Elephas maximus indicus: one gene and its partners. The protein of the gene in region 1 interacts with the protein of each later gene in a pairwise test. Links are inferred from orthologs where the notes say so. Each region holds a gene or a part of one and is shown in the gene's direction. Other genes may lie near its edges.

Region 1 (7,661 bases):
GCAATGCCAAGGAAGAAAAGGCCTGGTGATCTGCTTCTGTAAAGATTACGGCCAAGAAAACCCTATAGAGCAGTTCTACTCTGTAACACATGGGGTCACCATGAGTCAGATCCACTCAATGGCAACTAACAACAACAATGACTGTGGTTGCTTAGGTACTGAAAAAGCTCTCTTGTTCTTAAATCCCAGCTTGGCCCCACCATCCCTCTGGCAGCCTAACGTTTTGCAGTGCATTGTGAGGGCTGCTTCTTGTTTGAATTCTTACCCCTTCTCCTCATCAGTGTCTACTTCCTTCCACTTCACTGCTTGAAGTTAAAGTCTGCCTGTGACCTCTTTGTAAGTCCAAAAGCTTTTTTCTCTATTTTTATCTTCCCCATGGAGCCTCTGCTCTAAAACAACCTCCATACTATTCTTCAGGTCTTTCTCTTTTTTTCCTGTGTGTCCCCACTCAGGGCTTATTTTTTCCATAAAATTTCCCTGCGGCGTGGGATAGCCCCACCTCTTTTTAGTCCACATTCAGCCGCTGCATATCTCCTTCTCTTAACTCTACTTCGTCCCATAGAATTCTTGCCTTCCACGCTGGAGACCAAATTCAATTCCAGGCCAATGCACCCTTTGTCAGCGGAGGCTTATGTGTTGCTATGATGCTGAACAGGTTTCAGTGGAGCTTCCAGGCTCAGGCAGACTAGTAAGAAAGGCCTGGTGATCTACTTCTGAAAATAAGCCAGCGGATCACAGTGGTCTGATCTACAACTGACCATAGGAACGGCACAGGACTAGGCAGCATTTTGTCCTATTGTGCGTGGGGTTGCCATGAGTTGGGGGCCAATTTTACGGCAGCTAACAACAACAAAAGTTGTTTTACTCCCTTTATAAATGAAGATGAAGTTAAGGAGGGGAAAGGTGAAAACCTGCAGGCAGACAACATTGAGAGTCCTTTACGTATAGCTTCAAAATAATCAAACCTCTGGGATAAATTCATCACGGAGCCATACAGTGCTATTAACAGATGTACAGCATTGGTGTCACCTGGGAGCTTGTTAGAAATGCAGGATTATAGGCTCCACCCCAATTTACTGAATCAGAATCTAGGCTTTTAACAAGCTCCCTAGGTGATGCATATGTACGTTAACAGATGAGAAACACTGGTCTAGTGGACCAGTCTGTGCCTGCCACTATGGACCTCCATCAAAAGGGCTCTAAGGACCCCATGGGAACCTCAAACTAGTGATTTTTACCTCTAGTTAGGCAAAACTTGATGTGAGGGTGATCTGGCTGCCACAGTTATCTCCCCTTTGATGGGCAGGGTCGATTTGATTAATCTCCTGGTTAGGTGTGTGGCCTCTCTCCCTCATCACTCTAGGTACAGAGACATTTCTCAGAAGCTGCAAAAGGGTTTGAAAATGACACTTTTTCCTAAGTGTGTAAGACTGTTCTTCAAAAAAGGGTATGGGCGAGCTTATAGAATCTTTGGTAAATGGACACATCCTACTAGGAGTTAGGAAACATGGTTTTCATAATCACTCCCAACCAGAAATGTATATGAACAACATAGAAGACATGAATTGTTTACACTCTCTGTTTTCTAGCTCAATAGATATTTATTAAGCACCCACTATGTGCCAAACAAGGAGATCTGGTAGCATAAATGGTCAAGAGCTCGGCTGCTAACCAAAAGGTTGGTAGTCTGAATCCACCCGGTGGTTCTGTGGGAGAAAGACCTGGCAATCTGCTTGCCTAAAGACTGCAGCCAAGAAAACCCTGTGGAGCAGTTCTACTCTGTAGCACACGGCGTTGCCATAATTCAGAATCTACTCAACAGCAATGAGTTTGGTTTGGATGTGCTAAATACTAATCTATGTGATGAGAATATAGTAGAGAACAAAACCAAGTCCCTGCCTGGGGAGGGTGGAGTTTGCTTTTCGTGGGTGGAGACAGACAAAAAACAAGTACATGATATGGCAGATAGTAAAAAAAAAAGCACTATTTAAAAAAAAAAAAAAACTGAGTAGGTGGAGCCTACTATTTAAGATGGGTGATCAGGGAAGTCTTCTCCAAGGTGAAGACATTTGGGAATACACAGGAATGGAATGAGGGACCAAGCCATTCAGATATCTGGGAAAAGAGAATTCCAAGCAGAGGAAACAGCTAATGCAAAGGCCTTGAAGTAGGCAGTGTTCAAGGGACAGCAAAAATGCCAGTGTGATTAGAACAGATTAAGCAGGGAGGAGAGTTGAATGAGATGAGATTGGAGGTGGGTGGCACCACATCATGTAGTGCATTTAAGGAATTTGGATTTAATACCAACGGTGATGGGAGCCATTACTAGGTTTTGAGCAGAGGAGTGACATGATCTGACCCGTATTTTAAGAGGTTTTCTTTGGGTGCTATGTGGAGGATAAACTACAGTAGAAGCAGGCAGCCTAATAGGAAGCTGCTATAAAGGTTCAAGCAAAGATGTGGTTGGTTTAGGTTTGAGTGGTCGTGGCGGTGGTGGTGAGAAAGGGTCCAGGGATTCTTGACCTTCCTACCAAAGACTATTTAAAAATTTATGCACCAGGATGCTGGGGTGGATTTTTCTTGTCTTGTATTTGAAACTGTCTTAGATGTAGAAGACAATGAATAGAAATAATAAGGGCTTCTCTGGGTTCAACAATGTTAACAGCATCCCCTGAGAATCAGTGTTATGTAACATTTCATAAACGATTAAGAAAAAGGAATACTTTAAGACATGTCTAGGTATACAAATTATACTCTGCTTTCCACATAGCGAAATATCAGGTCAATAGGGAGCTTCTTCTGGAACATTTCTAAAGCCATGTGAGTAGGCTGGAAAGAGGCAGGTGTCTTACCCTGTGGACAAGTGTAAGGGGGCTCACGTAGGGAAAGACAATGCAGATGATATCTTTAAGAGAATGAAATCTGAACTGTCAGTTACCACCAAGGAAAGCAATCTAGAAGTCTCTGTAGATCATTCCTTCAAGACATCAGCTCTTCTAAAGTCTGAAAGACCAGCAAAAGTTCTGGATGTCCAGAGTAAAGGAAAACATCAGCATCAACAAAAGCTCAGGACACACATCTCTGGGCTCAGTGTGCAGTGCTGCTCGCCGCATCCAAAGAAAGAAAAGAGCCCTAGAAAGGCAGCTAAAATGATAAAAAAAAAAAAAAAAGAGGGCCTTTTGTGTGATGAATTAAAAGCCCATAAAGGTGACTATCTGAGAGAAGATAAGATGAAAGTCTGTAAAAGGACCAAAGATTTGGAGAGGGTAAAAATAGCTCCTTTCATACAAGAATCCCTTAATTCTGGAATTAAGAGACAAAAGAAGCTTGAAAATGGGGGTAATGTACTTCTTTGGGGAGGGGGAAGGTCTTTAAGTAAGTTCCAACATGTGCTAGGACATGTAGTAGCAGTAAAATATGGGTGGGGAAGGGACAACCGGTTTGCCTCAAAAGTCTCTACTTTCAAAGAGGCAAAGAACATCTTTGTTGGGGCAAAAACTACTTCTCACTCCCACCCTCTGTAAATCACCATGGTATACAACCACAGAAACTTAAAAAGAGCAAAATATCAAAAAGGCATTTAAAGGATTTAAAAAGCTAATTTTAAATCTCATTCTGAGCCAAAATTAGATTGACAATGAATTTAAGGGTGAAAGATTTACACTAGATTAGTAAGTGAAATCGAAACCCTGGTGGCAGAGTGGTTAAGAGCTTGGCTGCTAACCACACGGTGAGTAGTTTGAATCCACCACCCGCTCCTTGGAAACCTTATGGGGAAGTTCCACTCCGTCCTATAGGGTCTCTGTGATTCGGAATGGACAACGGTTTTTAACCGGTAATAAGAGAAATTAAGTGGGGGAGGGGGAGAGGTACATCCTTAATCTTTGTGATTCACACCGTGGAGAGCTACTATGTTTTAGCAAGAAATAAGACCTGGTAGTTTGAACTGAAGAGCCCTGGTGGCGCCGTGGTTAAGACCTTGGCTGCTAACCTAAAGGTCAGCTGTTGGAACCCACCTGCCACTCTGAACGAGAAGGATGTGGCAGTCCTTCCTTAAAGATTTACAGCCTTAGAAACCCTATGGCTCAGTTCTAGTCTGTCCCATACACTGTTTGTCAGCATCTGGGTTCTTATAGTAAGTTATTGATTGAAACAGGGATTATTAGGTCATTTGAATTTCACCCACAGCACAAGTATTCAATTAACAGAGGCCGGGGATACTCCGTGCAGAACCAGCCGTTACTCACAAGTTGGACAGTTAGCAGCTCTAGGCTATAGAATCTGTATCATCCTCCTTCACAGATTAAAAAAAAAAAAAAGCAGAGCCCAAACCCAACAAGGAAGGGGGAAGGGAATTTGACAGGTGTTTAAAGACGGGCAGCAACCAATACATAGGGCCTTACTTTCAGGTTACAGATTTATGTATACATTATCAAGCTCTCTCTTTCCAAGAAATATTAGATTCAGGATCCCAAGAGGCTTCATCCCCCAAAGAAAAGGGAACCCTTTCTTCCTTCCAATAGGTCCCTTTCTTTACCTGCTTCTCCTGAGGGGTAGGAACTTTCAGCTCCGCCTCCGTGCTCGTCCAAGCTCCGCCTTCCCGGTCCACCTGTGTGCCCGGTCCCTGACGTTGACGTTCGGCTTCAGCAGCTTGCAGGATTTTGGCTTTCGATTGGTTCTCCCGTTTACAGCCTGCATAGCCCACCAATGGCAGCGGCGCTGGGTAAGGGGTTGCCCACTTCCAAGATGGCGCCCCCAAGAGCTGGGAGCGGGTGACCCGCGGCAGGGAAGCGGCCTGGGTTGGCCCTCCGGTTGCGGGGTCCTGGGGGCGTCTCGCCGGCTCCCCCACGGCCCGCCTACAACGCTTTCCCCGGGCCAGAGCAATGGCCTCCGAGAACAGCAAGCAGTTTTGGAAAAGGAACGCCAAGCTGCCGGGGAGGTGAGCCCAGGACGCTGACAGGGAGAGAGGACTGGACCAAACTCCTCCAGATCCTACGGTCTAAATCCCGCGGGCCTGGGGCGTCGCAGATTCCGGATGGCTGGTTTGGAGAATCCCGGTGGGGGAGCGGGGACCGCCTGTGGCTGCAGGGCAGCTGTCAGGAAGAGGAACGGGCGGCAAGCTTTGGGGGACAGCTGTGTGTGGGAGCAGAGCAGAATCTGGGGTCGGAGGTCTCTGGAGAGGCTGTCCTCAGTCAGGAGGTGGCCAGAGACCGGACCTAAGGGGCAGTGGAGTTGGGTGAGTAGCCAGAGTCCGTTCTGGGCTCGGAGGGTTGCTTCTCACTTTAAACAAAACTCCCTCTCGGGGGTCTCCACACAGGTGGTTGCTTGCACGAGGACGGCCCCTTTCCTGGGATAACCCTCAGTTTGACACATACGAATCTTTCACTTGGGTTCTCCAAAGATTCTGTTGGCGCCGCCTTCGGGGGCAAAATTCTCCAACCAGATCTTACTTTATCTTGAGTTGGCCCTTTCCCATTAGGAATTATTACAAGGTGACCCCAAAATCGGGACTATTTCTTTAGAATTTCCCAAGGATTTGGCCAGCCCTAGAGATCTCATCCTCTCCTGTGCTGTAATGCTTGCTTGTACAAATGTACCAAATCCTGTCAATTTCAGTTGCTTAGTTGAAGAGCAGACCTTCTAAGCTACTTTTTTTTTTTTTTTTGGTGTATGTTGAGGCTTTTAGCAATTGCCCATCTATCATCCTGCTGTTGGTTTACAGTCTCAATTTGTTTTGGGCACAGTTCTGAAAGTATAAGGAGGAATGTGTTTTAGTTGTGCATTTAGGATTTCTGCCAGCCACCGTCTGCCTGGTGATGAAATTCATGTTTGGTTGTGCCCACGTGCCACCTTTCCTAGTTGATTTAGCCGTTTCCCTCTGGGATAATCCTTTGAAATTGTGACTTTTAGCAAGAGAGAAATGAAGGTCAGTGGTACCTATATATAAAAAATTTTTTTTTTTTTTATGTATAGCGGACCTATTTTATATAGGATCTTAATAGACCTATGGAGAATAATGCGGGAGCCAGCTTTTTAGTAATACAGTATTAAAATAATACAAGGGAATGCAAAGATAGGTTCAGATTAAAGTGCTGTGGAATTACAGTGTTAATGCTAAAGACCTTTGATGTTTTTAGATTAGCACCACTTCCTGCCAACTGATTCCCTTTTCCTTCCCTGTCTAGTCGTGAGCTCTCCAGCTGTGCCAACTGCCAGTTGTTTGGGGGTTTTCCATAGTGAGATCATTACATTTTGACATCCTAAAATAATAATTAGAATCCATGGGAAAACTGTTAAATCAGGAAGGAATATATGAGATGTGGGACATGGCATGGTTCTTTTGTGCCTACTGACTACTGGTTACTTTTGATGATCTTTTGTTTTCCATGTTTTCTTTACTGGACTCTAGGAACAGTCAACTTTTTGAAAGCACTACTTTTGTGAGATAGGAAGAAGAGTCTTCTTTCAGTTTTTTCAAGTTTCTGGCTTCCCTTTTTGTTTCGGAGAGGAATATGGAGGCATAGAGGAAAGAACATTTAACTGCAAAAAGACCTGGGCTATTGTTTGGGCTCTCTTACTTACCTTTGGGACCAAGGACAAATAATCTATTTAATCTCTCTAGGCCTCAGTTTACTGAGATATCTGTTATCTATGAGATTCAGATAAAAATAGCTTCTTAAGGATTATCATGAGGACTCAATGAAATAGTCTATTTGTAAAGAACCTAGATCAATGTTTATTTAGCACATTATAGTTGTTCAGTAATAGTAATTATTAATATTACTGTTACTAGAGCAAGTAAACATTTAAAATAATATTTCTCACACTAGGTAAATACTAGTTTGTCTTCATTGTTTATTCTTAAGGCATTAAAACGTTGCCACAATTCACGATAGTTTTTGCTACCTCGAATGTTGAAGAGAAACATTGTTCAGCACTGTGATTTTAGCAGGGAAGCCTCAAGAGCCCCTGGTTATGGGAGAAAATTAAGGCTTTTTTAGGAAAGGTGCTTTGTCTTAAGTAAAAATGTTAGGGCATTTTCTCAAGAATAGATTTTTGCACTTGTACTGTTTTGGCCGTAGTGAAGACCAACTTTCTCCTAGGTGGGAAACAGCACAAATGACCGGGTAGTAGTCCGTGCAACCTAGAAGTGAACCGGTTTATTCTTATTTGCAAATTGAAAGTTACAAAATCAAAGTGATGGCAGCTTACTTTCAGTTTCCTGCATCATGACCCAGAGACCTTAATGACAACAAATAGGAATTTTATTTCATAAAAATAACCTAAGTTCAAAATGAATTAAGACCCTTAAAAAAAAAAAAGCTTTATTGAGATAAAATTCACATTTCATAGAATTCACCCTTTTAAAATGTATAATCCAGTGGGGTTTTTTTGTTTTTTGGGGGGCTTTTTTTAGTGTATTCAGAGTTGTGCAGCCGTCGCCACTAACTTCGAACATTTTCATCACCCCAAAAAGAAACCCCAAACTCGTTAGCAGTCTGTCCCCATTCTCTCCTCCCTCCAGCCCATGGTAACCACTAATCTACTTTCTGTTTCTATAAATTTGCCTATTCTGTACATTTCATAGAAATGGGATCTATATAATATGTGGCCTTTTGTGACCGGTTTCTTTTATTAACATAATGTTTTCAAGACTCATC
Region 2 (7,668 bases), on another chromosome or scaffold:
GTTGCTCTCCCCCTAATGAGACTGCACACTTCTTCTCTCCACCCTATATTTCCATGTCCATTCAGCCAGCTTCTGACACCCTCTGCCTTCTCATCTCCCATCCAGACAGGAACTGCCAACATAGTCTCATGTGTCTACTATACCCAAGAAGCTCACTCCTCACCAGTATCATTTTCTATCTTATAGTCCAGTCCAATCCCTGTCTGAAGAATTGGCTTTGGGAATGGTTCCTCTCTTGGACTAACAGAAGGTCTGGGGGCCATGACCTCCGGGGTCCTGCTAGTCTCAGTCAGACCATGAAGTCTGGTCTTTTTATGGGAATTTGAGGTCTGCATCCCACTGTTCTCCTGCTGCTTCAGGGATTCTCTGTTGTGTTCCCTGTCAGGGCAGTCATCGGTTGTAGTGGGGCACCATCTAGTTCTTCTGGTCTCAGGCTGATGTAGTCTCTGATTTATGTGGCCCTTTCTGTCTCTTGAGCTTGTAATTACCTTGTGTCCTTGGCGTTCTTCATTCTCCTTTGCTCCAGGTGGGTTGAGACCAATTGATCCATCTTAGATGGCCACTTGCTAGTGTTTAAGACCCCAGACTCCGCTTTCCAAAGTGGGATGCAGAATGTTTTCTTAATAGATTTTATTATGCCAGTTGACTTAAATGTTCCCTGAAACCAGGGTCCCCAAACCCCTACCCCTGCTACGCTGGCCATTGAAGCATTTGGTTTATTCAGGAAACTTCTTTGCTTTTTGTTTAGTCCAATTGTGCTGACCTCTCCTGTATCGTGTGTTGTCTTCCCCTTCATCTGAAATAGTCCTTGAGTACTATCTAATTAGTGAATACCCCTCTATCTCTCTCCCTCCCCACTCTTGTAACCATCAAAGAATATTTTCTTCTCTGTTTAAACTGTTTCTTGAGTTCTTATAATAGTGGTCTCATACAATATTTGTCCTTTTGCAGCTGACTAATTTCACTCAGCATAATGCCTTCTAGATTCCTCCATGTTGTAAAATGTTTCACAGATTCATTATTGTTCTTTATTGATGCATAGTATTCCTTTGTGTGAATATACCGTAAATTATTTATCCACTCATCTGTTGATGGGCACCTTGGTTGCGTCCATATTTTTGCTATTGTAAACAGTGCTGCAATGAACAAATAGAAAGAGAGCTGTTACCAGGTATATGAGTCTAGGAGCCCATTCACTTTTCTTGTATGGATTCAGCTCAGGTGTCCTGGTAGTTGGTCATCAAATGTGTGGTACAGGCTCTGTCCTAAAGTCTTAGAGAGGCAAGAGTGATTGGTGTAGGTACAGGTATCTGATTACAGCAGGGGGTCATGCTCTGAATAAGGCAGGAGGCTGACAACCTTCCCCTGAGTATCTGTGAGGACAGTGTGTCCCTGTTCCCTGGAGCACACTGGTGGGTGGGTTCTGCAGCCAGACCATGGGCACCCAGTGCTTTTGGTTGTAAGGACTGGGAGGTACCACTTATCCCTGGACCCCTGTCATGGGTGGCTAGTGAATTGGTGGAGCTACCAGTCCTTAAGCCCCTGATGTGGGTAGGTGAGGACCCTGTTTAATAGGCAAAGCGGTGTCAAACTTCAAACATCTACCGCTCCACTGTACCGCTGAAATAGTTGCAGTTTGCCAACAAGGGCCTATTCTCCTGAAATGGGCCAACACAGGTCCACATAGGGATGAAAGGTATTCAAAGTCTGCAGACCGTTTGTGCCTGGATAGGAGCTGCGTCTGTCCTGAGCTCCCCAGCTTAGTGGAGCTGGCAGATTATCTTCTCCCTCAATTGTGAATTTATTACTTCTCCTAGGCTGGGAGAATGGCTCAGAGCATGCAGCAGAACCTGTCTCAGGCCCAGGGAAATTGACAACCACTGAAGCCGGCTTGGGGGCTGGGGGCCCGGTAAAATAAACACAAGTACTTAGCTTTTGCCAAGAATGCAGTTCTTCTCTGGTTCTGGATGTGTGAGTAGGCTGTGTGGCTCACTGTGTCTCCCTGAGGAAACCACTTCCTGAACGCTACCACCAGCCCCACTGTGGTTGCCCCAGGGAATAGTGCCTGAGGGTTCCCAGTGATTCAGGTTGGGCAACTCCTCTCTGTTTGTGAACCATCTCTCCCTTCCCCTGCTGCTCAGTCCGTTTTCTAACTTTGCCTTTGACATTCAGGGCTCCTAGCTTGTCATATATATAACCATTGCACTTGTTTTTTTAGGTGTTTGTTGTAAGAGTGATTCCCGGAGACGTCTGACTACTTTGCCATCTTGGCCCTGCCTCCTTGCCATAGTATTTTCTATCACCTGATACGCATGTGAAAGCTGGACAATGAATAAGGCAGAAGAATTGATGCATTTGAATGGCAGTGTTGGCGAAGAATATTGAATATACCATGGACTGCCAGAAAAACAAACAAATCTGTCTTGAAAGAAGTATAGCCAGAATGCTCCTTAGAAGGGAGAATGGCAAGACTTTGTCTCACATACTTTGGACATGTTATTAGGAGGGAACAGTCCCCAAAGAAGGACATCATGCTTGATAAAGTAGAAAATCATCAAAAAAGAGGAAGACCCTCAACAGTGGATTCACACAGTGGCTGCAACAATTGGTTCAAACCTAGCAATAATTGTGGGCATGGCACAGTACCCGGAAGCATTTCCTTCTGTTGTACATGAGTTGGTATGAGTCGGAACAGACTCAATAGCACCTAACAACAATAACAACTGTCCCCAAGGGTACCTGTATTTTAACAGTATCAGTAACAATGACACCATCTTACATTTAAAAAGGACATTAAATACTTTTTCATAATTTGTTTCTGATTCTCATAACTGTGAGCAAGGCAGAGAGGTAATCCCTCCAGCAAGCCTAAAGAAGCTGAAGACTTCTCTACTGGAACATCTGGGGATAGAACTCCAGGTCTTCTGACTATAGGTCCGTTGTACTTTCCACATATAAAGTAGACTTCCTTAAGGACAGAAGGATAAACAACCTCACAATGGGGAGGTTTTCTTATCCTTGGCAAGACTTCTCCTGAGGGTAATAGCTTACATCCTATGCACTAGCTAGCACTGGCGTTAAGCTCTTAGACAGTCATAGCATCAGCGTGAGATTACACTATGTGAGCAAAGATAGGAAGGTGGAGAGACACAGTAAATTTTAATACCCACAAGAATATTTAGGGTGGGTTTTTGTCCTCATTGAAATTACTGAAGTCTTTATTCATTTGTATAGGACAACAACATAGTTTGAGAATCTTTAACTCCTTCCGCGTAATTTCCCTTATTTTTTAACCACAGTAAAGTGTGCACAGTGACCCTGTAGTACAGGGTATCACTGCCCCATAGGGTTTCCAAGGAGCGACTGGTGGATTCGAACTACCAACCTTTTGGTTAGCAGCCAAGCTGTTAGCAAAGCACCAGCGCGCTCAAGAAAATCCTGTGAAGCCCTTCTCTCTGTAACACGTGGGATTGCCATGAGTCAGAATCAACCGTACGGCAATGGGCTTGGTTTTTTGGGTTTAAGTTCTTCTAGAGATAATCTTTGAATAAAACACTTAAACCTCAATTTTTGTTCCATAAACATAAGATAGTATGTTGACTTCCATTCTGTCAGACGCTGTCTTTCCCTCCTTCTTTCAACTGTGCCTTTTACTTTTACATTAAGGTTGATGAACACTGACTTTCTGGTCTGTCACCCTATATATGTATGGGCTTCTGTTCTTTCTCTACATGATGATGCTAACAGCCGAAAACCCCTGTGCAGCACTTGCTTGTTACAGCATGTCTGTGTGAACAGCGTCCACGCCCTGCCAGCATACTAGTGCTAGGGCTGCATTCTCTCCCCTCCTGGTGCAATGTCATGACCTCAGATGCTTAACTAGTGGTCTACTAACCTTTTATATTCATATGCAAACTGTAATTTTTTTTTTTTTTTTCCTAAGGAGATAGCTCCAACGGCACCTCTTTGCCCAGTAGATTCTCAAGTGGTGCTGGGACGTACTGCTTTACAGGGAGCCAGTAAAATTCCCAGCGGTGTGGGGATGAGTACACAGACGTTAAGGGAAAAAACAGCTAACACTCCGAGGGTATCTTCCTCGGCCTCAAATTCCCGATTGACTCTTAATTTCCCCGCACCAGCGAGGGCAAACCTGGGAGACAAAAGACAAGAACGGGCAGGCCAGGCAGGGACCTGGGGCTCCCGGCCCCCTTCGCGCCTCCCGCCTGCATGAAGACAGCGCCAGACCACCGCCCACTGCTCAGTGCCCAAACTCCTCGCCCTCATGCCCAAGCAGCCTGCCAGCACCCTTCGGCCGCCGCGTCCACTGGCTGACTGGCCGGCCGGACGCACACACAGGAGCAGCCGCCCCAACCCCTCCAGGGACCCAACTACTCCCAGAAGCTCCACTACGCAGAGTGGCGGGCGGGGCATCTCGGCCGCACCCCTTCTCTTTTTCCCGCCTTCTTTGTTTCTTCCGAAGGCGCCATTGGCTGTTTGCCCTTGAGACCGGTCGAGCCGCGGGCAATTGGTGAGACCCGATTGGACTAACTCGCCGCCGCTCGACCGGCTGCCAGCTTGCGATTGGCCGAGGCGCCGCCTGGGGTTTGAATCGCAGCCCCGGTCGGGGAGGGTTCTGCCAAAGTGCCACGTTGGGCTCGGCTGCGGCGCTGCGAGCCGGCTGGGGCGCCAGCCGGGGCCCCCGCTCGCGCCGGGGCGCCGGCCGTTGGGGCCACGGGGCGGTGCAGGCCAGCCGAGAAGCCCATCCGAGGCGTACGCTGCAGGCCGGCGGGTGGCTCTGTTCCGGCGGCGCGGCGGGGCCGGGGCGGCGGCGGGTCCCGCCCGCCGGAGGGCGGCTCTGGCTGAGGGCGGAGGGCCCGGGGCAGCGGCTGAGGCGGGACGGCGGCGGGGACCGCTGCCCCCGGAAGACGCGGCCGAGATGCTGGCGGAGAACCTGGTGGAGGAGTTCGAGCTGAAGGAGGATGAGCCGTGGTACGACCATCGGGACCTGCAGCAAGGTGAGGGCGAGGTCGCCGCGGGTGCGCGGGTGCGCGGGCGGGCGGTGGTCTGGCGGGGGGCGCTCGCCCCGCGGCGCCGAGGGCTGGGAGGCTCGCGGCTTCTCCCGGCTGCGAAGCTGTGACAGAGTTGCCTAGGTGGCGGCAGGGTTCGCGCTCGCCTTGCGTGGAGTCCGGGGGTTCCCGCGCAGCGCGCGGGAGGACGCCTGTGCGAGGGACCCACGGCCGGGCTTTTTGCGCAGTGATAATAGGAATAATCACTAATAGTGCCGCTGAGTGCGCTGTATGCCTCATGCGCAGTTTAAAGCGCTCTCCATGGATTAATTCGTTTAATCCTCCCCGCAGTCCTCGGAGACAGAAAGCGGCACAGAAAAATGTGCCACCCACCTTTTCCAGGCTCCTTACTTCCTGCGGCCCCTGTCTAGGGGTAATAGTCACGCGTCTAGTGACCAGTGCTGAGTGTCAGCTGCTGCAGTTAGTGGTGGGACCACCCTGTGGCAGGAACGGTGGCAAGCCTTCTGCAGACATGCTCTCGTTTAGTTCACACTGTAACTCTACGAGGCAGGAACTTTTGTTACTCCCATTTTCTAGATGAGGAAAACAGAGGCCAAAACAGTTAAGTGCCTTGCCTACAGTAGTGCAGGAGTGTTTTTGAACCCATGCGCTCAGAAGTCGTAGTCATTGCCCAAACCCTATCCCTCTGTCTTACCACCCAGTTTACTTTTTTTTTCTGTTGGGTGTTAATTTTTTTTTAAATGTTTATTTATAGCTCACCAGATACCAAATGAAGTGACTGAAATGTGAAATGGCAGGCACCTTTTTTTTTTTTAACTTCACCTACTTTTTCAATTTGCCGTTCAGCTTTCAGTTAAAAACACATTCCTGTTTGGCCTGCGCTGGATTTCTTGCTGATGCTGCCTCGGGAGAGCAACCTTAGAGCAGCCCTCAATTTGGAGCCAGTGGCCCTTTTTGGCATAATTACTAAGGAGCTGTCAATTGGGAGAATACTTACATGTGTCGGGCACTGGCAAACCCTTAACATACATGCTCACTTAATCCTCCCCAAAACACTATGGAGGTAGAGGTAGAAGTAGACACTGTTATTTGGGGAGCTAGAATTTCATTTCACATTCCAGAGAAAACATTCTTAACGCCTATACTGAGTGGTGCAGTGGTTAAGCACCTTAGGCTGCTAACCAGAAGGTCAAAGGTGGGAATCCACCAGCGGCTCTGCAGGAGAAAGAGGTGGCAGTCAGCTTCTGTAAAGATTAACAGCCTTGGAAACCCAGTGGGGCAGTTCTACCCTGCCCTGTAGGGTTGCTATGAGTCGGAATCAACTCGATAGCAACAAGTCTTTTTTTTTTAATACTGAATAATCCTCAGGAGTTTTTTTCCAGACATCTTCTGTTTCTACAATTCAGTATAAACCCATTTTTTCAGCTCTAAACTACAGTGAAAATTATTTAGTTAATATTAAATGATCATGATGCCTTTTCATGGTAACCATTGAACTTGAGGGGAAAAAAAGAAATGTAGATTTGAAGGACTCATACTTAAAAGAAGAAAATAAAACAAGCATGTCTTCTTTGGGAATGTGATTTCTAAAATCAATATGCTGTGAACAATCACTTAAACCAGAGTAGTTCAACATTACTCTTACACAGTATAACCAAACCTGTTGCCATTGAGTCAACTCCAACTCATAGCGACCCTACAGGACAGAGTGGAACTGCCCCATAGGGCTTCCAAGGCTGTCACCTTTAGGGAAGCAGACTGTCACATCTTTCTCCCCCATAGAGCGGCTGGTGGGTTTGAACCTTTCGGTTAGCAGCCAACTGCTTAACCACTGCACTACCAGGGCTCATTTTATACAGTATAGTCCAAGGTATTTAGCAATGCAGTAGTTGCCATCATGTTCTCTATATCCACAAGACAAATTTGCCTTACATTTTAATAAACCTGTTTTCACATTTCCCCATAAGGATTGATGGCCTAGTTTGATACTTTCTCCAGGATTATTGAGGCAGCCACTGTGCAGTTGCAACATTCCCCTATCATAAATTAACAGTTGGTGGCGTTGTGGTTAAGAGCTACAGCTGCTGAGCAAAAGGTTGGCAGTTTGAATCTACGAGGCGTTCCTTGGAAACCCCATGGGGCAGTTCTACTTTTTCCTTTAGGGTCACTATAAGTTGGAATTGACTTGATTGCAACGGGTTTGGTTTTTTTTTTTCTATAGTCAGAGGTAAATATTTTTCTATCTTGTATTTAGGAAACACAAATCTGTTAGGCAGAGAGGGCAAGGACCTGGTCTGCTCCTTTTTTAAATCCCCAGCACCTAGCACAATACTTGGCACGTAGTAGAAGCTCGATCAGTATTTGGTGAACTGAACTAAAGCACTCACGTAGGATTACTGTTTTCATGGTTCTCTTCTCCCAGCTGCTTAGTCCCCACTGTACTCCCTCCCGCCCCATGGGAGATTGTTTGGAATAACCAGTCGTGATATTTCATATTTCAATCTACCAAGAAGCAAATGAAACATATTGGGGCTATATGTGGAATTCTCTTTAAAATCTCTTTGATCAAAATGAAGTCATCACATCTTCAAGTTCAAGGAAACCCTAAAGGACCCAGAGCAAACTTCCTTAATACCAGTTT
Region 3 (7,947 bases), on another chromosome or scaffold:
TTACTCTCTCCCTAATGAGACAGCACACTCCTTCCCTCTACTTTCTATTTTCATGTCCATTTGGCCAGCTTCTGATCCCCTCTGCCCTCTCATCTCCCCTCCAAACAGGAACTGCCCACATGGTCTCATGTGTCTACTTGATCCAGGAAGCTCACTCCTCACCAGTATCGTTTTCTATCCCATAGTCCAGTCCAATCCCTTTCTGAAGTTGGCTTTGGGAATGGTTCCTGTCTTGGGCTAACAGAAAGTCTGGGGACCATGACCTCTGGGGTCCTTCTAGTCTCAGTCAGACCATTAGGTCTGGTCTTTTTATGAGAGTTCGAGGTCTACATCCCACTGCTCTCCTGCTCCCTCAAGGATTCTCTGTTGTATTCCCTGTCAGGGCAGTCATCGGTTTTAGCCAGGCACTATCTAGCTCTTCTGGTCTCAGGCTGATGTAGTCCCTGGTTTATGTGGCCCCTTCTGTCTCCAACTGACTTTTATTTGTTTATTTTGTTCCATGCCACTTGCCTGAATCTTTGGATTAGTTCCAGTAGCTTTCTTGTGCAGTCTCTGGGATTTTCTATGTATATGATCCTATCACCTGTGAATAGGGATAATTTTACCTCTTCCTCATCAATTTGTATATCCTTTATTTCCCTTTATTGCCTTATTGCTCTAGCTAGGACTTACAGTATAGTATTGAATACAAGTGGTGATAAAGAGCATCCATTCTTATTCCCTTTCTCAAGTGAAATGCTGTCAGTGTTTCTCCCTTGAGAATAATGTTGGCTGTTGGTCTTGTATATATTCCCTTAGTTATGTTGGGAAATTTCCCTTCTATTCCTATATTGTTGAGAGTTTTTATCATGAATGGGTGTTGGACTTTATCAAATGCCTTTTCTGCATCAATTGAGATAATCATGTGACTCCTATTCTTTGTTTTATTTATGTGGTGGATTGCGTTGACTGATTTTCCAAAGTTGAACCATCCTTACATATCAACCTTACTTGTTTTAACTTTTTTTAAATTGTGCTTTAGATTAATTAGTTTCTCATTTAAACAATATTACACATATTATTTTGTGACCTTGGTTACCAACCCTATGACATGTTAACACTCTCCCCTTCTCGACTTTGGGTTCCCCATTGCCAGCTTTTCTGTCCACTCCTGCCTTCTCGTCCTTGCCCTTGAGTTGGTGTGCCCAGTTAGTCTCATTTTATTTTATGGGTCTGTCTAATCTTTAGCTAAAGGGTGAACCTCAGGAATGACTTCATTACTGAGCTATAACGGTGTCCAGGGGCCATACTCTCAGGGTTTCTCCAGTCTCTGTCAGACCAATAAGTCTGGTCTTCTTTTTTTTTTTTTTTTTGGTGAGTTAGAATTTTGTTCTACATTTTTCTCCAGCTCTGTCCAGGACTCTCTATTGTGATCCCTGTCAAAGCAGTCAAGCTCACTAGCCAGGCATCATCTAGTTTTGCTGGACGCAACCTGGAGGAAGCTATGGTAGCTGTGGTCCTTGGTTTTCTTCATTCTCCCCTGCTCCAAATGGAGTGGGACCAGTGGAGTGTCTTGGATGGCTGCTCACAAGCTTTTAAGACATCAAACGCTACTCACCAGAGTAGGATGTAGAACATTTTCTTTATAAACTATGTTATGCCAATTGAGCTAGATGTCCCCCGAGACCACAGTCCCCGGCCCTCAGACCAGTAATTTGGTCCCTCAGGGAGTTTGGATATGTCTATGAAGCATCAAAAACCTTGCCTTTGTCAAGTTGTGCTGGCTTCCCCAGTATTGTGTACTCTCTTACCCTTCACCAAAATTACCACTTATATATAGTTTATTTAGTGTTTTTCCCTTCCCCCCACCCCGCGATAACCATCAAAAAGTGTTTCTTTCTCTGTGTAAACCTTTTCATGAGTTTTTATAGTAGTGGTCTCGTATAATATTTGTCCTTTTGTGGTTGACTTATTTCACTCCAGATTCATCCATGTCATGAGATATTTCACAGATTCATCATTGTTCTTCATGTTGTATAGTATTCCGTTGTGTGTATGTACTAGAGTTTGTTTATCCATTCATCTATTGATGGGCACTTGGGTTGTTTCCACCTTTTTGGTATTGTGAATAATCCTGCAGTGAACATGGGTGTGCATATGTCTATTCATGTGACGGCTCTTATTTCTCTAGGCTATATTTTTAGGAGAGGGGTTGCTGAATCATATGGTATTTCTATTTCTAGCTTTTTAAGAAAGCACCGTATCATTTTCCAAAATGGTTGCAGCATTTTGCATTCCCATCAGCAGTGCATAAGAGTTCCAATTTCCCCGCAGCCTCTCCAACAATTGTTATTTTTTATTTTTTGGATTTGTGCCAGTAATGTTGGGGCGAAATGGTATCTCATTGTGGTTTTGATTTGCATTTATCTAATGGCTAGTGATCTTGAGCATTTCCTCATGTGTCTGTTAGCTGCCTGAATGTCTTCTTTGGTGGTTTGTTCAGATCCTTTACCCATTTTTTAACTGGATTAGGTGTCTTTTTGTTGTAGAGATGTTGGATTTTCCTAGAGATTTTAGAGATTAGACCGTTGTTGAATTTGTCGTAGCCAAATTTCTTTTCCCAATCTGTAGGTTCTCATTATACTCTTTTGGTGAAGTCTTTTGATGAGCATAAGTGTTTAATTTTTAGAAGATCCCAGTTATCTAGCTTACCTTCTGGTGTTTGTGTGTTCTTAGTTATGGTTTATGTCATGTATTAGGACCTCTAGAATTTGCCCTATTTTTCCTTCTATGATCTTTATAGTTTCGAGTTTTATACTTAGTTCTTTGATCCATTTTGAATTAGTTTTTTTGTGTGGTGAGAGGCATGAATCCTGTTTCATTTTTTGCAGATGGACACCCAGTTTGCCAGCACCATTTGTTAGAAAGACTGTCTTTTCCCCCATTTAATGGATGTTGGGCCTTTGTCAAAGATCAGGAGACTGTAGGTGGATGGGTTTTCATCTGGGTTCTCAGTTCTGTCCCATTGGTCAATGTGTCTGTCATTGTACCAGTACCAGGCTGTTTTGACTACCGTAGCTGTATAGTATGTTCTGAGGTCAGGTAGTGCAAGTCCTTCTACTTTATTCTTCTTCTTCAGTAGTGCTTTACTTATCCGGGGCCTCATCCATTTCCATATAAAGTTGATGATTAGTTTTTCCATCTTGTTAAAGAATACTGTTGGTATTTATGTCGAAATTACATTGTATTTGTAGATTGCTTTGTATAGAACTGACAGTTTTCACAGTCTACCTATCCAGGAGCATGGTATATTTTTCCATTTATGTAGGTCTCTTTTGGTTTCTTGCAGCATTTTGTAGTTTTCTTTGTATAGGTCTTTTATGTCCCTGCTTAGATTTATTCCTAAGTATTTTACTTTTTTAGGAGCTATTATAAATGGTATTGCTCTCCTGATTTCCTTTTCATAGTTCCTTTTATTGTCAAACTTATTTTTTAGACAGAGTTTGAAGAGCACTAGATTTGGAGTAAGGAGCCCTGGCGATACAGTGGTTAAGTGCTTGACTGCTAACTGAAAGGCTGGTGGTTCAAACTCGCCAGCCGCTCCATGGGAGAAGATGTAACAGTCTGTTTCCATAAAGATTACAGACTTGGAGACCCTATGCGATAGTTCTACTCTGTCCTATAGGGTTGCTATCAGTCAGAATCCACTCAACAGCGGTGGGTTTGATTTTGGTAGATTTGGTGTTATATGACCTGGGTTCGTATCTTAGCTGCACTTGAAGTAGATATATCATCTTGGACAAATCATTTATTCTTGCTAAGCCTTGGTTTCCTAATAACACCTGTTACATTTGCTTCATGAGTACTTTTGAGCACCTGAGGAAATAATGAATGTGAAAATACTGACCAATAGTAAAGAGCTACACAAGCACGAGTGACCTTGGGCATCCTGAAACTTCATTAACAGCCCTTGCCAAGTTCCATTTTTTCTTCCTCGGGTCAAGAAAAATACATCGATCCATTTAGTTTACAAAAGAATAAAAGAACATGACTAGGATTTTCAGAATAATGTTAAGATGAAATGATCACTCTCTTCATTCAATCATAACATATGTGCTATGAAACACTTATTTAAAACTAATAACCTGAGTTACTTTATACAGTTCATCTATGAGACTCAATTTGTTAAGAAGCAGCAAATGGTTTTATGAAATTGAAATGGAACCTGGATGGAGGAATGTGGGAGGATATTAAATTGATAACCATATTAAATAGCAAATTAATGTTAATGTTATGAAAGTAGAGTGCAAATAAAAGATTTTAAGGACTAGAAGTTAATCAGCTAGATGTATTAGAAAGGAAGTCTGTTCCTCAAATAGATACAAGAATATTTTTCAAACAGAAAATCCAAGCGCTTAAGTCTTCTTTAAGCCAAACAACAGTTTAGCTTAATTAGTAAAGAATGTCTGCCTTGAGTATTGTGCTCTTTTAAAGAACTATCTAAATGGATCGAATTGACAAAAACAACAGTAAAGGTTAGATAGGAAGCTTAGGGGGCAGTGAGTTTATGTTAATGGGGGAGGGACAATTTGGAAAAGGAGGGTGACAACAACCTGAAGAATGTAATCAATGTCATCGAATTGTACCTGTAGAAATTGTTAAATGCTGTTTATATTTTCAACAACAAAAAATAAATTATTTTAAAAAAATCTCTCAAAGTTAGCTTTGAGAGATAATGTTATAGCTACAGGCTATGACATTATTTCCTGTCATTTCCGCTGTGAAATGTGAAATCAAGACAGTGAGACAGCACTTGTATCATCACTCTTGGAATTTGGTGGAAAAGGAAAGAATCTGGAATCAGTCATCCTGGGTTCCACCCCAGGTCCCCCCACTTAGCAGTTACTTCCTTCTCCTTGAATGGGAGACAATACTATTTGCTTCGCCAACACGCAGAGTTGTTCTAAGGACCCAGTGGGAAAAAAAAAAGACAGGTACAAATGCTGCAGTTACCGCGACCAGAGTACTGTGGACTAAGCAACACAGTTAAGGAAATCCAGCCCTTCCGGGCTGAAAGACATTTTGGTGAAAAGAGAAAAAGCCAGCTCTGTTCACTCTGTCCTTGATCACGTTTCAGTTTGGGACAGGTGAGAGAACGGTCAGGGAAATTTAAGGAACTTGAGTGCGGAACCCCCAGCTGTTTACTCTTTGTTCCTTAGTTATTTCATTCTTTCTGAGCCCTTGTTTATTGCCGGTCCCTGCTTTAGGCACTGGAAGCCACAAAGAAAAAATGACTCAGAAGGTGCTCTCAGGGAGCTCTGCGTCTAGCGAGCTGACACTAGCCACACAGCAGCGGGGCAGCGAGGTCGCACTCGCCTGGGCTGAAGTTTCGCGCGGCCCGAGACGCCCCGCGGCCACCGCCTCCCGCCGATCCGCCCGCGCCTCCGCCGGGCACTCCCTGCCACCCTCACCCCCACCCCCACCCCGACGGCCGCGAGTTCGGGCCGCGTCCCCATGGCAACCAGGAGCCAAGCGGCGGACCGCGGTAAGCCGGGCGGGAGAGGCCGCAACGGCCTAGGCGGCCGCGCGGCGGGCGAGCCCGGACGGCGGGAGCGCGGCGGCGGGTGGCGAGGCCCTCGAGGCGGGGCGGGAGGGAGGCCCAGGCGTTCCTGCTCCCGGAGCCTCAGACCTCTCCGGCGGGCGCCGCGCAGCGCAGGTAACCCGGCCCCAGGCCTCCCCGGTCTCGCTTCGCGATCTGACCCTCGTCCCCCGGGTCAGGCGCGGGTGACCCTTGCCGGGGGGGGGACCCCAACAGGCCGGCTGCTCCGGGGAGACTGGGCCTGAGCTGTGCGCGGGTTGGGGCGGGGGTCGGGGTCAAGGCTGGGCAGCGCAGCGGGTGGTAGGACCGAGGGATATAAGAGCCGCCTTTGCAGAATCCAGAGCAGAGATTCTCCCTGAGTTAGAAGGCCTAGGTTCTGGTTGTGTGGCCATGGACAAGTCACTTAGTATGTCTGTGCCTCAGTTTCCCTGACATTAAACTGAGGGATTTGAGAGCCTACAAAATCATTCATCCCTTCATCCTGGTCAAGCTTTCCATTCACTGCCCCTACCCCTTGCCCCACCCCTCCACACACAATTCCAGGACTTCTCTTAATTTCCTTTGATTTGATAGTGGAATGAGCCCGAAGCCTTCTTCCTCATCCTACTACTTCGACTGCTGTTTGACTGACTTTTATTCAGTGATGCGGAGGAGTTGAAGTCCTTTTTCAATACTTTGTCCATTTATCCTCGTAGATTATTTTTCACTAAAACTTTGTTGCTGGGAAAAATCTTTTGCTTTAGGCAAGTACTGATATCTCTATTTTGTCAAGAGGATGTGCCAGTGCCCATGGAACCATTGAGGAATGGTAAGATTTATATTTTTAGGCAATTCTTAACCTTTTTTGTCCTAAATTTCGTAGTATATTCATTCTAGCAAAACTCAGAAAGGACTAAAGAAAGAATTTGCTCAAAGGTAAACCATTTAGGGGATCCACATGAAAGAAAAGTTTGTGAATATCCAACTGGAGCTCCTCTTGAGTAATGATTCTATTTTACTCATCCTCATGTACTGAGCATAGTACCTGGTGCTGAGCTATTGTTCAATAAATAGTGAATGAGCGCTCATTTCAGTCAGTACCACATATTTCAAGTTATTATTAATCAATATCATAGCTGCATGGGACACCCTGCCAAAAAAAGCCCAAATTTCAACATTTTGTAGAATCGTGAGCTACTCCGCTCAGAAAAACTAACCTCAAATGGTTTGCTGATAGCAAAATGTTCATATTTTGTGGGTTAATTAATGTAAGCGTTTTAGGACTCTAGATAATTTTTTCTCCTAACAGATTAAAAATCAAGAACCATAAACCAGATTCAGCAGCTTCTCAACATGGAGAACCAGGCCCAAAATACAATGGGGTAAGTGCTAAGAAACTTCTGTTTAATAAGCTGACACTTAACAATGCCAAAAACTCCCTGGTGATACATGAGTTTTAAAATTTAGCTTTAATAGCCTACCTACTATCCTACGGCCGTTGAGTAGATTCCGACTCATAGCGACCCTATAGGACAGGGTAGAACTGCCCCATAGAGTTTCCAAGGAGCACCTGGCGGATTCGAACTGCAGACCTTTTGGTTAGCAGCAGTAGGACTTAACCACTATGCCACCAGGGTTTCCAGCATTAATAGAAGGATGTGGAAATTACTTTTGGTGAGGGTGGGGGGAAATTTCAAGTGATTATAATTAAGAATCTATAGTGTGATCTGTGGATCTGCGCTTGAAAATCACAGCTTTCCAACTTTTAGCGACTTTGTCTGGTGTCTTGGGTGATGGGTGCCTACGCCCAGGGCACTGACACTGCTGGCCTCGTGCACTCTTCGGTTCTTACAGTGCAGCACCTCCTGGCCATTTTGCTCCCGTCTTGCTGCACCAGGTGTCCCACACTTCCCTCTACTCTTGCACTTAAGACTCAACTCAGCACTTCAACACAACCCCAAAATAGATCCAACTCCACAAAACAAGGATGGATATTAAACCAAAAATTTCATAGAGAGCTAAGGAGTAGAATTTGTATAGCATCCCCTATCATAGAAATTTAACCAAATTCCTTTTCGTAAATATCTGTCCCTACTTCCCTGCCACCAGCACCACGAAGTTTCCTCTTCATATTGTTTCATTAGCCAACTGGCCACTGGCTGATCCCAGAGCCAGGGGTGGAGGTGAGTGGGGATGTTACTGTAGTGACTGATCTTGACCGTGGCTGACTTCGCTCTAGTCAGCCACTTGAGGTGTCTCACTTTTAGCTCTTCTGTTCAGACCTGCTTTAACTTTTAGCTTTTCTACTCAGACCTGCTTTAACGTCTGGCTAAAGGAAAACTGCCCAAGTCTGGATAATAATAGCATCAATTTTTTACTCCTACTGCATA
Region 4 (7,876 bases), on another chromosome or scaffold:
CTCTGCACAAGGCCAACTGATTAATCACATTAATCATGACGAGTGTTTGGTCAAATGACTGGGAACCATATCCTAGCCACGTTGACACGTAAAATTAACCAACACATCATATGTCTCAGATAAGGATAAGTCATGTAATGGACTCAGAGCACCGAAGAAGCCTTTGAAAAGATAGTTCAGTTGAGTCTGGATGAACTGGAAAAAAAAGGTTTGGCCATGTAGAAAACAGTGTTCCAAGCACGGGGAACAGACTATGCAAAGACACAGAGGTGATGAATAAACAGGCCACCACTCTGTATGGAAAACAAAAAGCTGATTTTCTTACTTGCTTAAGCAAGGTAGATACAGTTCCCCTGAGCAAAGCAGAGAGTTGGTCTCATATAGTGTGGAGTTCAGAAAATGCTGGACTTTCAGAGGCAGGTATGCTTAGGAATTGGTTGTCCTTAAGCTGTGGGAAAGGATCCCTGGTGACACAATGGTTAAGCATTCAGCTGCTAACTGAAAGGTTAGGGATTCCAACCCACCCAGCGGCTCTGTGGGAGAAAGACCTGGCAATCCACTCCCATAAAGATTACAGCTGAGAAACCCTGTGGGGCAGTTCTGCTCAGTCGAATGGAGTCGCTGTGAGCTGAAACCCACTGATGTCAGGCAACAATAACAAGCTCTGGAAGCTGTGTGTCTGCTGCTGGTTGGTTCATTTTCAGAAGCGCTCAGGTCACTGGGGTCACTGGTTGGTTGGCTCTCAGAAGCCTGGTTAGGGAACCAGTTGTAATTGCTCCAATAACCCTATTTAAAATAATTTCTGGTGGCTCTTTGTTATCATGGATACAGAACATTCCATCTTCCCCTAGGACCACGGGAACTTTTTTATTCTCAGCGTGCTTGATGGGCAAAGGATTGGCAGGGAAGCTATGAATTACAATTATTTTGGGAGTAAAACCCAGTGCCGTCAAGTCGATTCCGACTCATAGCGACCGTTTATTTTTTGGGAATAGCTCCTTCTTTATTCCAGCCACGTGGTTCCGCTAGCTGTCAGTGTCGCCTGTGGTCATGTGACTCAGAATTGCCCCAATTGGAGTGAAGCATCCTCTTTCCTGCAGTGATTGGTCCCAAGGTTCCGGGATGAGCTGCAGATCTCAGCTGTCCTCTGGGGGTTTTCTATTACGAGACAGTAGTTAGTTTTCTTTGGTTTTGAGGCAAAGAGAGGCAGTGACAGCTAGAGAGAGCGTATGATGTCATGTCTAAGCTAGAGAGAGCGTATGATGTCATGTCTAAGCTCCCCCCCCAACCTATCCTCTTGATAATTTTGTTAGCCAACAAATCGCATCCCTTCTTTTCTGTTGTTGCTGCTAGTTTAGAGTTTTTTTTGTTTGTTTGTTTTGTTTTTCTGGCACAAGCAACCCAGAGTCCTGATGCTAGAAGGCGAGGAGGCTTGATATGGCCAGGGAAGTGCGAGTGTTTGGCTGGGCTTCCGTTTACGCACAGCAGGGACAGTTACCGTTTTGCCTGTAGGAAGATCCCTCTGGGGTCCTGTAGGGAACAAGACTGGAGGTCCAGGGGTTCGGAAAAAGAAATTGGTAGCCCAAGGCTGGAGTCTGTGTTTCTCGTCTTCCCAGGCCCCCCTGCCCCGGCCCCGGATGAGTGCCCAGGAGCAGTTGGAGCGCATGCGCAGACACCAGGAGGGTGGACGGTCCCTCCCTCACTCCACCACTCCCAGGCTTCTTACTCTGGGGAGGACACTGTCCCCAGCCAGACGCCAGCCTGACCTAGAGCAACGGGTGAGGAGAACAGATGGGGAGAGTGGGGAGATGGCATGGTTCTGGGTCCTCTGCTTCTAGCCTGATCCTCAGTTTCCCTCTTTGTAAAACTGGGATGCTTTCTACCACCTCCTTACCCATAATTTAGTTTCCAGATTCACCCCAACTTTCACCTGTGCTAGTTTGCTTCCCAGCCCACCTGGTGGTGGGTGGAGCAGCGGCAGAGACAACACTGCCACCTCACCAGCGCTTTCTCTTCAGGTTTGGGCCATGGGTCTGGATTCCAAGACCAGTTCTTCTCAGCTGCTATGTGTTGTCAAAGGCAAAATAGTAAAAAATATAAGGAAATTGATTGTTCTCAGTCTGTGGCCATTGGGAGAGCACCCCAGAACCCAGTATCAGAGTGGTTTTCCCACTCTGGTGGTTCTATCTCAGACTTTTATGAAGAGTAGAGTTCACACCTTTCATGTGGGAGAGGAAGGTTCGATTCCCAGTCAATGCACCTTATGTGCAGTGGAGGTTTACATGTTGCTATGATGCTGAATAAGTTTCAGCAGAGCTTCCAGACTAACACAGACTAGGGAGAAAGGCCTGGCAATTTATTTCTGAAAAATAAGCCAAAGAAAACCCTATGAATCACAACAGTCTGATTCTGTGAGTCCGAGCTGGCTAAATGGCAGCTCACAACAACAGACAAATTATAGGTGGAGGGCTTTACAGTTGAGATTGTGCAATCTGGGAGAGTCTCGGACAGTCAACTGAACAGGAAATGTTTAGCTCTGTGTCTAGCTAGTTTCAGGGTGACAAACAGTTTGACTCATCATTTATGAAACAAAGGACGGAAATTTGGAGGGTACGTGTCTGGGCTCAGAGTAGGTAATTCAGAGTCTTATCTAAGTCACAGGAGGCAGGGCACTCTTTGCAGCAAATCATTGCCTGGAACACAAAAAAGTGGAGGGATTTTTTTAACCTTCACTCTTCCGGAAGCGCAGGCGTCAGGTAAAGGTTAACATTGTCAGTGCCTTTCGGCTATTTTATCTCCTCTCTGAGCCCCTTCTCTTTACCCTCCAAATGAGGACATGGGGCTTCCAAGTGAAGAATCCTAATGCCCCGATTCCTTCCCAGCCTGCCGTAGACTCCTTGGGACACTCGGGAGCCCCGAAATGGCTCAGAAGCTCCGGGTCCTGGAGTAGGTGAGGAACTGGAGGGCAGGGCAAGGGAGCAGGGAAATTAATTTGCCAAAGGGGAGGGAAGCAACATTATTACTAAAAGCACCCAACTACAGAACTACACATTGCAGAATTTTAGAGACGAATGAGTTCCTGGGATGCGTGAACCAAAATCAGAAAGCCCTAGACCCGCAGTGAGAACTGCAGTTTCCATTACATCTTGGTGGCTGTCAAACCCTGCCCCTCCTTCTAGGAAATCTGGTAGATGGGACTACAAATCCTATAATGCATGTGGGCTCATGTGGGAAGCGCCATGTTTAGTTTTTTCAGAGACACGTGTTTGGGACTACGACTCCCAGAAGGACTCGCGCCGCACTGCGGTCCTCACTATACTGGCTAATTGCACATACTCTCCCCACCCCCGCCGTCCCCCCAACTTTCCTTCGGTCTAGCCCGAGGAACACCAGGCCTTACTTGCCGACATCCGACGGTCACCGGGAGAGGGTCCTCAGCCTCTCCCAGGCCCTGGCCACTGAGGCGTCGCAGTGGCACAGAATGATGACAGGTGAGGGTTTGGGGGCCTTGCACTTCTGGGTTTTAGGGAAGTTGGAGGCCTGGAAGCCTAGGTCCTGGTGAGCAGGGGCTTGGAGGCCGCCAGGAATCATTTGTTTTGGTGAGGGAAGGGCGGGGCAGGACTTGGGACTTCTAGGTCCCAGACAAAACGGGAGTGGGGTCCGGGGATCCAGGCTCTGGGGGGAATGGGGATCTGAGGGAGGAGGGCTGCGGGCTGCGAGCCTGGACTCCAGGGGCTGAGGGAGGAGGGGCTGAGGGGCCGGACTCCTGGGTCTGAGAGGAAATGCCTGGGGATCTAGACTCTTCGATCGAGAAGTTTGCCATTCTCATGCCTCATTCATCCTCTCCAGGTGGAAATTTGGACGCCCGGGGAGATCCTCTTTCCCCTGCGCCTCCGCCTCCGTCAGACCCCACACCCCGGGTTACCTTTCCCCCAAGATCTCCTCCCGTGGCTAATTCCCGCACCGCGATGCCCTCAAGCCCGGGTAGCGGGCGTAGCGTGGGCCCCGCCCCTTGGGAGTCCACGTGGCAGTCTGGTATTGCCCCTCCCGCCCTGACCTCGGCCGAGGGGGCGTGGCCTCTGAGAGTCACTCTGCTGCAGTCCAGCTTCTGACCCAAACGTCTGTCAATCGAAGCGCGGGGTGTGGCCTGGAGATACCGCCCAGAGATCTAGAGCCAATCAAGGCTCCTGGGGGTGTGGCCTGAGTCCCACCGGTAGCTAGGAGAGCGTGGTTTCCGCAGCCAAAAACTTGTTTTCCCGACGCTGTCCAAGTTTGAATTAAACTTTGAACTTTTAGTGAATAGCCCTTTTTTTTTGGTCTGTTTGGAATTGTGACACTGAGGCTTCTGAAGGAGCAGAGCGGGAGTCCTGGATTGCTAGGTTCCAAGGGAGGAAGGGACTGACGGCTCCCACTGCAGGGTGTGAGGAACCAGAGAGAACGGGACTTTTAGATCGGAGGAGGGAAGGAGCCGGGGTCAGAGGAGGAGGGGGCTGGGAGCCGGACTCCTAGGTCTGGGGGAGGAGGGGGCCAAGGTCTCGGACTCCTGGGTCTGAGGGAGGAGGGGGCCTGGACTCTTGATCTGAAGGTGGAGGGGGCTGGGTGCCGGACTCCTAGGTCTGGGGGAGGAGGGGGCCAAGGTCTGGGACTCCTGGGTCTGAGGGAGGAGGGGGCCTGGACTCTTGATCTGAAGGTGGAGGGGGCTGGGGTTGAACTTCCCAGGTCTGAGGCTTTCCTGGCACCGCCCCTGGGGCCGGGCTTCAAGATTCAGCCTCTATTTAGGACTTGACCCCGACGGCCTTAGGGGACTTCGGAGGTGGAAAGAGGCCTGGAGTGGCAGACAGAAGAGACTAGCTGACGCGGAATGGCCACGGGAAGGCGCTACGCTGGGAAGGTGGTCATTGTAACAGGGGGCGGACGCGGCATCGGAGCCGGGATCGTGCGTGCCTTCGGTGAGTTGGGGTCTGCGTGCTTGGGTTTGGGGTTCTGGGAGAGGAGCCCGGGGGCTGATAGGAGTGGGAGGAAAGGACCCCAATAGTGAAGTCAAGACTCTTATAAAAAACCAATTTTCATGCCATTAACTGCCGTCGAGTGGATTCCGACTCATAGCCACTGTGTAGGACAGAGTAGAACTGCCATATAGGGCTTCCAAGGAGCAGCTGGTGGATTTAAACTGTACACCTTTTGGTTAGCCGCCGATCTCTTAACCACTACTCCAGCAGGACTCCTCTAATTTTCAGGCTAAGGTAGGGTTTTTCAGTGGTAGCCTGGGGCTTGAGATTTTGAGATCTTTCTGTTGTCTAAAGGCAGCTCCTCCCTTCTTGGGATCTCGGGTATTAGGGCTGCAAAACAGGTGGCTTGGGGAAGGTATCTCTTGCAGGCTTAGGGTTGACTCTGGAGCCGGGGACGGGGGCCTGGGAGCCCTTAGCAGGCACCTGGAGTAGCCTAGCAAAACAGATGTTGGGGCCTTTGCCCTTTGTCCCAGAGGATCATCATGAGACTTGAGTGTCACGAGGGGTGGGAGGGCTGCTCGGCCCTCTCTCCTGGTGGCCACAAGGGGGCAGCAGAGGCTTTCACCAGGTCTGTGCTGGGGTAACCTGTTCCCTTTCCTCTTCTCAGTGGAAAGCGGTTCCCACGTGGTCATCTGTGACAAGGATGGTGAGTGAGAGTCCCTCAGTCTTTGCCCCCAACCTTTCCTCCTTCAGACCCAGGAGCCTGAGCCCCCAGTCTCCTCCTCCTTCAGATCCGAGGATCCTGGGTCCTGGCCCTCTCTTTCTTCAGACGTGGGAGTCCAGACCCCTGGCCTCCTCCTCCCTCCGACCCAGGATTCCAGGCTCCCAGCCCCCTCCTTCAGAACCGGGAGTCCCAGCCCCCTACTCCCTCAGATCCAGGAGTGGAGGCTCACAGCCCTTCTCTCCCTGCAGAGTGTGGGGGCCGGGCCCTGGAGCAGGAGCTTCCTGGCACTGTCTTCCTCCGCTGTGATGTGACTCAGGAGGAAGACATGGAGGTGAGTGCATTTTCTATCCACACTCCCCAGCTCCAAATGTTACCATCTTTCTCTGTCTCTGCCTTTTTTCTCCTCTGAGCTATTGTACCTGCTGTTCCTTCTTCCTTTCCCTTTCCTTCTCTCCTGGTTATCTGTCCTTTGTATCTGTCCCAGATGATTCAGACCATGTCATTTTGCCCAGAGACTTCTTCTGATTCTGCCGGCCAGATCACATGTCCCTTGAGTAAATTCTGTTTTCTTTGCCACATCCTAAAGGCTCTTACCACACCTGTCACATGGTTGAGTTCCTCCAAGTGGTCTCCTTCTTAACAGTCCCTGCCTCCATCTCTGGATTCTATCCCTTCCCTCTAATCAGTATCTCTCTGGGTCTCTGTCCCTCACTCTCTGGGTCTCTGACCCCCTCTCTCTGGGTCTCTGTCTTCCTCTTTCTTTGAGCCTCTGTCCCCCGTCTCTGGTTCTCTGTCCCCCTCTCTCTCTGGGTCTCTGTCCCCCTCTCTATGAGTCTCTGTACCCCTTTCTCTATGGGTCTTTATCCCCCTCTTTCTGGGTCTCTGTCCTCCTCTCTCTTTGAGTCTCTGTCCGCTTGTCTCCCTCTCTCTCTGGGTCTCCGTTTCCCTTTCTGTCTGGGTTTTTGGCCCCCTCTCTTTCTCTGGGTCTCTGTTCCTTATCTCTCTGGGCCTCTGTCCCCCTCTCTGGGTCTCTGTCCCCCTCTCTATGAGTCTCTCTGTACCCCTTTTTCTATGGGTCTCTGTATCCATCTCTCTCTGGGTCTCTGTCCCCCTTTCTTTCTGGGTCTCTATCTTCTTCACTCTGCATATCTGGCTACCTCCCAACCAGGTCTCATTCCTTCTCTCTGCATTTCTGAAATGACACTGCAGTGTGGCCATAAGTACCCTCACATGCCTGATTACCCTGAAAGAGTCTCACCCTTTCTCTAGCTCCCCTCCCTGCCTTGCTCTTAGGATCCTTGGATCCCTCCCCCCTAGGGGCTGGTACCACAAGCTGTTCCCTCACTGAGTGTCTCTTTCTCCCCAGGCCCTAATCTCTGAGACTGTCCGCCGTTTCGGCCGCCTGGATTGTGTGGTCAACAATGCTGGCTACCGTGAGTTGTGAGGCCCCAAGGCCAACCTGCCCTAAAGCCAGCTCACCTCCTTTTACCCTCCCCTTCATCCTGCACTGCAGTTTCCCCTTTTTCTGACCCCGATTCCCTCATCCTCCTCTATACCTCTCTATGTCTTTGGGCAGGACAATACAACTATGGCATCCCCCAGGCTGGGGCTTTAATCCTGACTCAGTTTCATTCTTGCTGTGTGCCCCAAGCTGGTGTCTTCACCTCTCTGTGCCTCAGTTTTCACATCTCTAAAATGATGTCATTGGGGGTTCAGTGGTAGAATTCTTGTCTTCCACGCGAGAGACCTGGGTTTGATTCCCAGCAAATGCACCTCGTGCTCAGGGACCAGCCACCTGTCAGTGGAAGCTTGCGCGTTCCTATGATGCTGAACAGGTTTCATCAGTGCTTCCAGACTAAGAAGGAAAATCTGTTGCTCCGTTTCTGAAAATCAGCCAATGAAGATCTTATGGACACAACAGTCTAACCCGCAACCGATCATGGGGATGGTGCAGGGCTGAGCAGCGTTTTGTTCCACTGACCCCACGTATTGGCAGGGAATCTAACCGCGTCTCCCATATAGAAAGTGAGAATTCTACCTTGAATCACCACTGTCCCCTGTTGGGGATTTAGCAGTGAACAAAACAGAGAAAACTTTCCTGCCTCTATATGGAATTCACATTCTAGAGTGAGGAACTAGACAATAAAACACCAGGATATGATAGGATGTCTGGGGCGATGCATACTGTGAGAAAAATAAAGCA

The links.
Region 2: the proteins of TBC1D22B (region 1) and CDR2 interact in binary tests that used the Homo sapiens proteins (3 or more experiments, as listed by UniProt). The link is inferred for Elephas maximus indicus from reciprocal best matches to the Homo sapiens genes TBC1D22B and CDR2.
Region 3: the proteins of TBC1D22B (region 1) and DEUP1 interact in binary tests that used the Homo sapiens proteins (3 or more experiments, as listed by UniProt). The link is inferred for Elephas maximus indicus from reciprocal best matches to the Homo sapiens genes TBC1D22B and DEUP1.
Region 4: the proteins of TBC1D22B (region 1) and HSD17B14 interact in binary tests that used the Homo sapiens proteins (3 or more experiments, as listed by UniProt). The link is inferred for Elephas maximus indicus from reciprocal best matches to the Homo sapiens genes TBC1D22B and HSD17B14.

Annotation. Positions count from the first base shown.
Region 1 is NC_064819.1:100,950,729-100,958,389, forward strand, and holds the start of TBC1D22B (TBC1 domain family member 22B), read left to right. Parts: upstream 1-4,647; 5' UTR 4,648-4,883; coding exon 4,884-4,939; intron 4,940-7,661. UniProt on the Homo sapiens protein: May act as a GTPase-activating protein for Rab family protein(s).
Region 2 is NC_064830.1:82,439,133-82,446,800, reverse strand, and holds the start of CDR2 (cerebellar degeneration-related protein 2), read left to right. Parts: upstream 1-4,662; 5' UTR 4,663-4,936; coding exon 4,937-5,015; intron 5,016-7,668.
Region 3 is NC_064825.1:27,651,978-27,659,924, reverse strand, and holds the start of DEUP1 (deuterosome assembly protein 1), read left to right. Parts: upstream 1-4,936; 5' UTR 4,937-5,126; intron 5,127-5,246; 5' UTR 5,247-5,524; intron 5,525-5,558; exon of another isoform or gene 5,559-5,695; intron 5,696-5,725; exon of another isoform or gene 5,726-6,386; intron 6,387-6,866; 5' UTR 6,867-6,910; coding exon 6,911-6,939; intron 6,940-7,947. UniProt on the Homo sapiens protein: Key structural component of the deuterosome, a structure that promotes de novo centriole amplification in multiciliated cells.
Region 4 is NC_064829.1:99,266,616-99,274,491, reverse strand, and holds the start of HSD17B14 (17-beta-hydroxysteroid dehydrogenase 14), read left to right. Parts: upstream 1-4,861; coding exon 4,862-4,949; intron 4,950-5,616; coding exon 5,617-5,655; intron 5,656-5,921; coding exon 5,922-6,004; intron 6,005-7,039; coding exon 7,040-7,106; intron 7,107-7,876. Other genes in the region: PLEKHA4 (pleckstrin homology domain-containing family A member 4), read left to right, coding at 1,617-1,778, 3,248-3,491, 3,850-4,112. UniProt on the Homo sapiens protein: Catalyzes the NAD(+)-dependent oxidation of L-fucose, yielding L-fucono-1,5-lactone, which rapidly converts spontaneously to L-fucone-1,4-lactone. Can also act on D-arabinose and L-galactose, with lower catalytic efficiency. Does not use NADPH.